Linked DNA regions of Schizosaccharomyces pombe. The protein of the gene in region 1 binds, or shares a complex with, the protein of each later gene. Each region holds a gene or a part of one and is shown on either strand. Other genes may lie near its edges. A codon is read from its position in the direction of its gene.

Region 1 (4,284 bases):
TATGCGTTCAGTTCGTGCGGAAAATAGAGATCTTAGGAAGGGTGCATACGTGATTTCGCCTGTTCCCTTTATTAATGGTAATAATCCGGACCCTGATTTGCCTCCAATTACTTCAGTTCAAGATGTAGATCGGTTGTCTAGGAGTCAATGTTCTCGATATTTACAGGGCTATGGGGTAACTTTTCATGTAAACGAAACTATTGGGATGAAGAAGAAACTTGCTAGCGCGGTCGGCCTATCGGCAGAGTATGACAGAGAGTATCCTTTTTCTGGATTTCCTAATTAGCGATTCTGGCAGAAAAGTACTCGACGAAAATTAATCGCTTATATTTTTTTACTATTTATTCACGTGTATTATTATATTGGAAATGTATATAATTATTGGGAGTGAAACGTTCAAGAGTTCAACCCAGCTACTTATAACTCTTGTTTACCTGATGTTGAATAATCTTGAATCTTTGTGATTGTTGAATTAAAAAGCATACCGAAAGCAAAGCATTCAAATTAGGTGATTTGTGAGGTAAAATTTTTAAGATAAGATGCCATGGGCTTGCATATTTAATTTTTAAAAAATGATGTTTGCATAAAGACGATAACATACTGTCTTCGAAAATCCGTTTTATGAGAAATCTGAAGTTAATATAAGTTAACCGCTCTTGATGGCGATAGTTATCATTATTGTTTATGAAATCTCAAGAGAGAAACTATTATTTTAATGTTGCATTGCATATATAAATATATATTTTTTAATTTCTTTACAAATTAGTACATCGTCATCATACATAATAATACTACCAAATTATTTATTGGTATTAATTCATTGGAAAATAACATTAATCATTGTTGCCTAAAGGAGAGCATAAGACGATCCGTCAGGACTGTGAATTTGAGTAATGAAGTATGTTACGAAAAAAAATAATTCAAAACATCATCCTAAGCTTATGGTGTATAAAAAGTTTTCAAAGAAAGATTTTCGATAAAAAAAAAGATTTGTAGAGAAGTATCCTAAAGCTCATCGTAGTAAGGGAGCACGTCAAGGTTACCCACAGCAACTGTACTAGCAGGTTTGGCTAATAAAGATGAAACCACCTTAGAGATGGATGCGGGGGTAACCTTGTCGAAACCACTAATAAAGGCATCAGATCCTTTTGAAGCAGAAACTAAAGATGAAGCAGATATGGCGTTCAAAGTAACAGGTTCAAAAGCAGACAAGTACTTAGTCTTAGCCATTGCAATGCCACTTTTAACAACATCATTGGGGATATTAGAAGATAATGATTTAAGGGCCTTGAAAGATTCAGAGGCAGTAGCTTTAATAGCTTTTGGACAACTGCCAGAAATAACGACCGATAGCAAACTGGCATCCGAATAAGGAGTGAGATCAGCAACAGCTGTGGCTTTGTATTCAGAAGCAGTTCCAGCAGCCTTAGCAAGGAGAGTGTTTCCATGAGACCATTTCACGGCAGCATCTCCTCCAAGTATAGAAGACAACACAAAAAGCTCAGGAGAAGCAGCGGGAGCTGGAAATCCTAAACAGAAATAATTGGTTCCTTTGGAATAAACACGTGATTCCCCAGAAGAAATCTTTGTGGGTGCTGACTTCAAAGGACTGCCATCGGGAATTACGGCAAAATACTTAGCACACAGGTCAGAAGCCTTCTGAACGTCGGGACCAGAGGAAATAACGGAAAAGTTAGACTTAACATAAGCCTTTGAAGCAAAATCTTTTATTTCAGAGATAGAAGGGCTGGCAGAAGCAGGAAGGTAAACTTCGTTTCCAATGCCACGGTGGAAAGCCTTTTCGTGAAGCTTGGCCATGGCGACCCTAAGGATGTCTTCCCTAAACAGTTCAGACTCAATGCGAGCGGTCGGTAAAACTTCTTCTGTTAACTGGAAAGGAAGGAATTTGGTGGCATCAACGACTTCAGCCAACAATCTGGCATAATATTCGAGATATTCATTCAAAAAACGAGCTGTTAATATGATGTGCTCACGAGTGATTTGAGTTGATAACTGTCCTCCTAAAAGTTCAGATTCTCGAGTAATCCGTAAAGCAGAACGCTCTTCCGTAGTTTTAAATGCAAACTTCTCCAAAAGGTGCGAAACACCAGCATCTGGTTGATAACGGCTTCCGGCGTTAATCACAACGGATAAAGAACCTGTCGCAGTAGGTGTCTCGCGCCCGGCAAACGAAACTCCTTCCACTTTTTTTGGTGTATAAGAGATTCCATGCAAATTTCGTCTCGGGGTCTGAAATCTTCTTAAATTTCTTGTAAACGACTTCATATTACCTATTTAGGACTTTTCGAAAAAGTTTTTAATCGGTGTTTACTAAATTACGCTGCTTGCAACAGAGGTGGGAGTTGGGAGTGGGTATCTTAGGGATCCGCCTAAATCGGCTGCAAGAGGATATGACAAAGTTTGAATTGGCCAGTTGCGTTATAATGGAGAAACTAGGATTTGCAGCGTTTAAGTTCTTCCAATTTAATGAATCAAAAAAAGAAATTTGATTTTTATTTCATTATGGTTTTGACTGCTTCAAATGCCAATGGTGCAGAATATGATCGTCTTAAAAAAAACCTACTGATGGCGGAAAAGAATTGCTTTATAGAACTTGTAGGCAAAAATATCAATCTGTAAAGACTATATGTGGATTTGTTTAAAAGCTAAGCCTTCAACTTTACTTGTAGTAATGTCTAGTAATGAATTAGGAATCGACATCAACTTATTAAAAAACAATAAATAACGTATTATAGACTAAGAAAAAATCCCCACTTAAGTTATGTCACTTATTGAGCTTTTATACTTCACTAAGAAACTGTTTTACGCTTCAACGATAATATTCCAATCCCAGAAATGGTTAGATTCAAAGACTAGTGAACCACGACCAAGACATCAAAGATTAGCTAATAGTAAATTCAAGATATGTCACCGAACTTTTTTTTCTCTCCTTTTTTCCGCGAGAACATATTATTTTAGACCAATTGTTGAAATTTTTTACTCACCCTTTTCCTTTTAGATCCCTTTTTAGAGAAGTCTGTATAAACTTTTTCTTCAAAACAAACATCCGATAGCCGAATGTAGCTTATAACTCCATAATCTACAATTGCAATAATAATGTTTCTGTACCCTTCCTTTAGTCTTTGAAACATATGCTGTGGCATGTTTTGTCGAAGAGGAGTACTTGAAAAAAGCGCATCAATCTCAAAAATAGTAGGTAATAATGTATCCTGAGAGCTAACCACACATATCCTAAAATCAGGCTCTGATAAGGCCGATTTTTTGAATGAAGCTGAAGGTTTGTATGCGTGAAATGTGATTTGAAATAATGAATCTGAAGATGTTATAAGATTACAAGCGATTGGAACATAACCGCGGACAATTTGCAAATCATGATACACTTCTTCGTATGTATAAAATGTATCATGTAAGAGGATAGACTGCCTCCTCCGCTTTGAAAATGGAAAAGCTAGTTTCCGAAAGTTAAATGTTTGTAATATTTGTGAAGCCTTTCCCAATCCTAAAAACAATAAATCCTTGAAATTCATAATTTTCGAATCGCATCGATATTCATCTTCTTTTACTGGAACTAGGTTTGAACGTATAACCGAAAAACCACATCTCCGTAAATGAGCATAAACAAGATAATTTTCTAAGCTACCACATAAAGGAATAGAGGCTGAGTAAACTGCTTGCAAACTCATTGGCAATCCTTCTTCTGACCAGCATTCCATCGATCCACGTTCAACAAGATACAAAGTCTCCTCTGGAAGTAACCACATGCGATTTTGAGAGTCAGCAGTACCCATGGTTTTAAACAAAGGTCCATGTGCCTTTTCAACACAAGACATCCCATTTTGGGCATTCCAAGTAGCTATTATTGCATGTTTGCTAAATGCCATCCACGTTAGCTTATGACATTTTTAACGTAACTGAAATTGCGGTCATTCTCAAACTTACGCCGATATTAATCTCTCCACTGAAAGGGCATCAAACATCGCCTTCCTGCTCAAGTCGAGAGCAGAATGTTGCTTATTGGTGCCATCTGGTTCAAAGTCTTTTTGTCCACGTTTTGGGATAGTGTATGTCCCTTGGTCTCTGTTATTTTAATGAAATTAGTACATTTCTAGAAAAATTATACAACGAGTAAGAGGCTGAATGGTCGAAATACTTACTTTTCGACATTTGATAAAAATCTCCAATCTTGAATTTCTTCTGTGACGTCTACAGTAGTTTCAAGATTCGTAAATGGATTATCTTCATCCTGTGCATCCATAGAAATAC
Region 2 (4,821 bases), on another chromosome or scaffold:
AAAGCAAAATACAACAGTATGGCTAAGAACGTTATGTAAATATCGAAAATTGTAACGCAACATTCGATAAATGAGATTAAAACGGTAAACGTTAGAGCATGTCTTCTAATACCTTATCAAAGAATAAGGGAACGAAGCGTACATGGGTAAATTGTTGACCCATTCTAAACGATAAATAATAAATGGGACACCCAATAAAATAATTCAATGGATTTTGTCTTGGAAGAATTATTAATTCAAGTCGACATAAGGACCTTAACAAGAGCTGCCACAAACTTGAATAGTCTTCTAACCACTCCCACTAGAAAAATTATCGTTGAAGGTAAACATAAACATACTGTGCAAGCGCTAAACAGATTTACACAGATAAATTGAGAGGATCAATCAAGCCAGAAATCAAGAAAAGAGCAAAGATCAACTGCAGAATATCAATTGGCAGTTTTGGGGTTTGAACTGGTAAGTTTCAAGCCCAAAACTTACTAGATGACGGATTAAGGAGAATAAAAAAGAAAAAGGAAAGGAATAATCATTATGAAAAAATAAGTGGGGTTATATGGGTTTGCATGGAAAGAAGCTTAAGATTTCCAAAGCTTTTTAATACCCTCCGTAAGGCCAATATCATTCGTGTTGAACTCATAGACGCCAATAAGTGTAAGAACAGTACATCCACGTAAGATCCAGTGCATCAAAGGAGATAACTTCTTAAATCTTCTTGCAGGGAAGTAGTCAATCACACAAGATTCAAACCCCAAGTGGGCATGCGTAATCAAGGTGCAAGCCAATGCAGCGTCCATTAAGGGATGAGAAGTTCCGGTGAACAAAGGGATCATGACTTGAGGAACCATGGCAATAGCAATAATTCTTTCAAAGTCCCAATGATAGCTTCCGTGGAGCTTACTGTGGTGAGGGAAAACAGCAGCATCATTAACAGTTCCCTTAATGGTCTGAGGGGGAGGAGGGAAAATTTTCGCAACACTGGTTGTGCTAAAAGATTTAACTGCAAAAAGAAGACGTCCTTGACGAAGTGCTCCAAGTCCTAAACGTGTTTGTAACATATTGTTTGTAAACCAAGAAAAGCTGGTGGTGGTAGTAGGTGAGTTCGTATTGGCGGATCTTGTGTCCACATTATTGGCCATTCAACAGCTCGATGTGTTGAGCTTGGAGTGGCCGGAAATAGGCGATGAGAACCTAAATCTATCTACTCATAAACGAAAAATTGTATAACATAGAGTAAAGACTAGAAATTTAAATAGATATAATAGATTAATAAGTTTATTCAGAAGAATCTCCGGTCTTTAAGGTCGTTTCAAAACCTGGTTATTACTTTTTATAATAATATTATTCACTGCTGAAAACGAATTACCTTCTACATATAATATTACATGGGTTTTGTGGTGAGTTTGAATATCTATTATAATATTACACAGTACCAAAAGTTACTGCAGTTTCAAAAAAAATTTTACGGAAAGCACTACATTGTGAAAAAACAATAATCTACTGTAAATCTTTTTACTTAATAATATAATATAGATAAAGCTATAGAAATTTACTTGTAGCAATTATGCTAATATAAAGGTGCTGCATTGGCTTAAAAAAAGGTTAGAGAAACGGTTTTAAGAGGATGAAAATTTTATTTAAATTAATATCATTTATATAAAAAACTATTCTCATAAAAAGAAACCATCAAGCTACTCAATAGTCGATGTATAACAATGCTTGATTCGGTGCTAGTCAAAATTCTATAGTTGGACTGTTATTTTTTTAAAAATGTATTAACCGAAATATTGTAATGGAAATCATGGAAAAGAGAATTTCGTTAAGTATAAATAACCTTTTAATGTAGATGAATACGAACTTAACCTGATGAAGTGTCTTACCCTGTCTGATTCAATGTCATATAGATTCTTTTCAATATACCGATGAAACAATATATCCCCTACATAGTTTTTTACCAATGAGATTCTCCATGTTAAGTAGAGATATATTATATCATGAACTGGATTGTACGGTCATTCGTTTCCTTCCTTTATAGCAAATTGCGCACAGGGCAAAGACTAGGCAATCCGAAAGTTTCTGTTTGAATGGTCAACTTCTTATTTTTCTCTACATGGAAATTCTAGTAAGGGATTCAAGGATTGCTAGTTTTCTTTTTTTATTAAATGGGATCAATTGGTCATTTGCCGAAATTCGAACTTGGGACCTCGATAACACGTATTACGCTACACCTCTACGGAATACCTTCTTGCTACCTACTTACCCTTTACCATCCACAGAATCCCACCCAACCAAAGGAGCTTGAATTGATATTACTATGCTGAGGCTTCAGAATTTGCCAAAGCTAGTACGTCGTTTTGCGACTACTGCTTTACCAAAAACAGAAACCACTACTTTAAAAAATGGGCTTACAGTTGCTACGGAACATCATCCGTATGCCCAAACAGCGACCGTCCTTGTGGGCGTTGATGCTGGCTCAAGAGCTGAGACGGCAAAAAATAATGGCGCTGCTCACTTTTTGGAACATTTGGCGTTCAAAGGAACGAAAAATCGCTCCCAAAAAGCATTGGAATTGGAATTTGAAAATACTGGTGCACATTTGAACGCATACACCTCTCGTGAACAAACCGTTTATTATGCACATGCGTTCAAAAACGCTGTACCTAATGCAGTTGCCGTTTTGGCCGATATCCTGACAAATTCAAGCATTTCTGCCTCGGCGGTTGAGCGTGAACGCCAAGTCATCTTAAGAGAGCAAGAAGAGGTTGACAAAATGGCCGATGAAGTAGTCTTTGATCATTTACATGCTACCGCTTATCAGGGTCATCCTCTTGGACGTACAATTTTGGGTCCTAAGGAAAACATCGAATCTCTTACCCGTGAGGACCTTCTCCAGTATATTAAGGACAACTACCGTAGTGATAGAATGATTATCTCTTCTGCCGGTTCGATATCTCATGAGGAGCTTGTAAAGCTCGCCGAAAAATATTTTGGCCATTTGGAGCCTTCAGCTGAGCAATTGTCGCTTGGTGCTCCTCGTGGACTCAAACCTCGTTTCGTCGGGTCTGAAATCCGTGCTCGTGACGATGATTCACCAACTGCCAACATTGCCATTGCTGTTGAAGGTATGAGTTGGAAACACCCAGATTACTTTACTGCATTAGTCATGCAAGCCATCATTGGTAACTGGGACCGTGCTATGGGAGCATCTCCCCATTTGTCTTCTCGTCTTAGTACTATTGTTCAACAACATCAACTTGCCAATAGCTTCATGAGTTTCAGTACTAGTTATAGTGATACTGGACTTTGGGGTATTTATCTTGTCACTGAGAACCTTGGCCGTATTGATGATCTCGTCCACTTTACCCTCCAAAACTGGGCTCGTTTAACCGTTGCAACTCGTGCTGAGGTTGAACGTGCCAAGGCACAACTCCGTGCTTCGCTTTTACTTTCTTTGGATTCAACGACCGCCATTGCAGAGGACATTGGTCGCCAATTGCTTACAACTGGTCGTCGTATGAGCCCTCAAGAGGTTGATCTCCGTATCGGTCAAATCACTGAAAAAGATGTAGCCCGCGTTGCTTCCGAGATGATTTGGGACAAGGACATTGCTGTTTCTGCTGTTGGTTCCATTGAGGGTTTGTTGGACTACAACCGTATTCGTAGCAGTATTTCTATGAACCGTTGGTAAACGCATTTTCTTGGGACTTTTGACTATTGTCTATTATTTAATCTTAAGGCTCATCCTTTGCTATTGTTTGTTAACGCCTTTATGATTTCGTCTGCCTCTTCGCTCTCTTCAGATATATGAGCTGAATTCACCAATATACGTTGTTTACGTGTTGATCAGTACTATCACCGGTTGGATATGAAGCTGTTTGCACACAAGTAATATCATTTCAGTAGATGAGAGCATACCAGAGTTGTTTATAGTGCAAAGTCGGTTGCTTACTGCATCACCTTTGAAAACCCCCTTTCTTCAGAGTTAAACTTTTCTCTCATTTATTATCTGTCAAGGTGTATTGCTCGGACACTTCTTATACTGCCTTTGCATTCATTTTTGCTTGCAATTTATCCTCCCGTGATATTCCTTGTCATCTTATTTTTCTATCTCCCTTCTCATTTAGCAGTCTCTTGAAAATCTCTTTTACTTTCTTGCTTTCTTTCTAGCAACTATTCACTTTATCGCTGATTTAGCGGAAACCGCTTACTAACCTACCCATGTTTACAAATGAAACGGATTCGTTCGTGTTGTAAAATTTATCGACATAACTTTGAATGTTACAGAGTTAATCTGAATTCATTCTTCCTTTTTTGTACCTTTTTTCTTGGGCGCTTGCTCGTAATTAGCAACTTGCGTTAAAATTCATGTAGTAGTAAGTCGACTTGATAATGTAGTTATGTAGTTTTATTTTATAAAAATAGATTTTTGCGAATAATCGTCGAGCATTCCGTTCAATTCATTCAATCACTGCGAGGGTTTATCGGGTTAATCTTCTGTAAGGAATATCGGCTTTTATGGAGTTAAAAATTGGTATGAACATTTTCCATTTGCATAAGCGAAAAAAACACGAATGTTTGTTTATTGAAATCGTTCGCACGATAGTGGAAACCAAAACATATATGGCAAAAAGCCTACAGCACCCCGGATTCCCATGTTGTCTCCAACCATAGTACTAACGAGGCCCTCAGACGCTTAACTGCAGTGATCGGACGGGAACTGGTGTTTTCGCCTAGGTATGGCCGTAGACGTTTGTCAAAAAATTTAACAAGATATATAGTGTAAGAAAAGATAAGAGGTATTTTAAATTTTGTTAAAAGCTTCAA

Evidence for each region.
Region 2: the proteins of qcr2 (region 1) and qcr1 are in contact, whole or in part, in a cryo-EM structure (PDB 8Q1B), measured with the Schizosaccharomyces pombe proteins. Residues at the interface, in NP_587698.1 of Schizosaccharomyces pombe: Glu37 (codon at 2,178), Thr38 (codon at 2,175), Pro39 (codon at 2,172), Thr40 (codon at 2,169), Thr42 (codon at 2,163), Lys71 (codon at 2,076), Ala78 (codon at 2,055), Leu79 (codon at 2,052), Thr82 (codon at 2,043), Arg83 (codon at 2,040), Glu86 (codon at 2,031), Leu87 (codon at 2,028), Gly89 (codon at 2,022), Gln91 (codon at 2,016), Arg106 (codon at 1,971), Phe107 (codon at 1,968), Leu108 (codon at 1,965), Glu110 (codon at 1,959), Glu136 (codon at 1,881), Thr140 (codon at 1,869), Ile143 (codon at 1,860), Pro206 (codon at 1,671), Asp207 (codon at 1,668), Ala275 (codon at 1,464), Val276 (codon at 1,461), Lys277 (codon at 1,458), Trp278 (codon at 1,455), Ser279 (codon at 1,452), Gly281 (codon at 1,446), Asn282 (codon at 1,443); in NP_595827.1 of Schizosaccharomyces pombe: Ala15 (codon at 2,354), Thr16 (codon at 2,357), Thr17 (codon at 2,360), Ala18 (codon at 2,363), Leu19 (codon at 2,366), Pro20 (codon at 2,369), His38 (codon at 2,423), Gln42 (codon at 2,435), Thr43 (codon at 2,438), Glu69 (codon at 2,516), His70 (codon at 2,519), Phe73 (codon at 2,528), Lys74 (codon at 2,531), Lys82 (codon at 2,555), Glu85 (codon at 2,564), Leu86 (codon at 2,567), Phe88 (codon at 2,573), Glu89 (codon at 2,576), Asn90 (codon at 2,579), Thr91 (codon at 2,582), Gly92 (codon at 2,585), Ala93 (codon at 2,588), His94 (codon at 2,591), Leu95 (codon at 2,594), Asn96 (codon at 2,597), Ala97 (codon at 2,600), His109 (codon at 2,636), Ala110 (codon at 2,639), Phe111 (codon at 2,642), Glu146 (codon at 2,747).

The regions. Positions count from the first base shown.
Region 1 is NC_003421.2:94,723-99,006, reverse strand, and holds qcr2 (ubiquinol-cytochrome-c reductase complex core protein Qcr2), read right to left. Parts: upstream 2,381-4,284; 5' UTR 2,287-2,380; coding exon 1,006-2,286; 3' UTR 797-1,005; downstream 1-796. Other genes in the region: protein meu23, read left to right, coding at 1-286; tRNA-splicing endonuclease subunit Sen54, read right to left, coding at 2,976-3,891, 3,961-4,098, 4,176-4,276. UniProt on the Schizosaccharomyces pombe protein: Component of the ubiquinol-cytochrome c oxidoreductase, a multisubunit transmembrane complex that is part of the mitochondrial electron transport chain which drives oxidative phosphorylation.
Region 2 is NC_003423.3:2,032,334-2,037,154, reverse strand, and holds qcr1 (MPP complex beta subunit Qcr1), read left to right. Parts: upstream 1-2,255; 5' UTR 2,256-2,311; coding exon 2,312-3,685; 3' UTR 3,686-4,313; downstream 4,314-4,821. Other genes in the region: SPOM_SPBC29A3.21 (uncharacterized protein), read right to left, coding at 1-63; TIM22 inner membrane protein import complex and succinate dehydrogenase (SDH) anchor subunit Tim18, read right to left, coding at 576-1,055. UniProt on the Schizosaccharomyces pombe protein: Catalytic subunit of the essential mitochondrial processing protease (MPP), which cleaves the mitochondrial sequence off newly imported precursors proteins. Preferentially, cleaves after an arginine at position P2.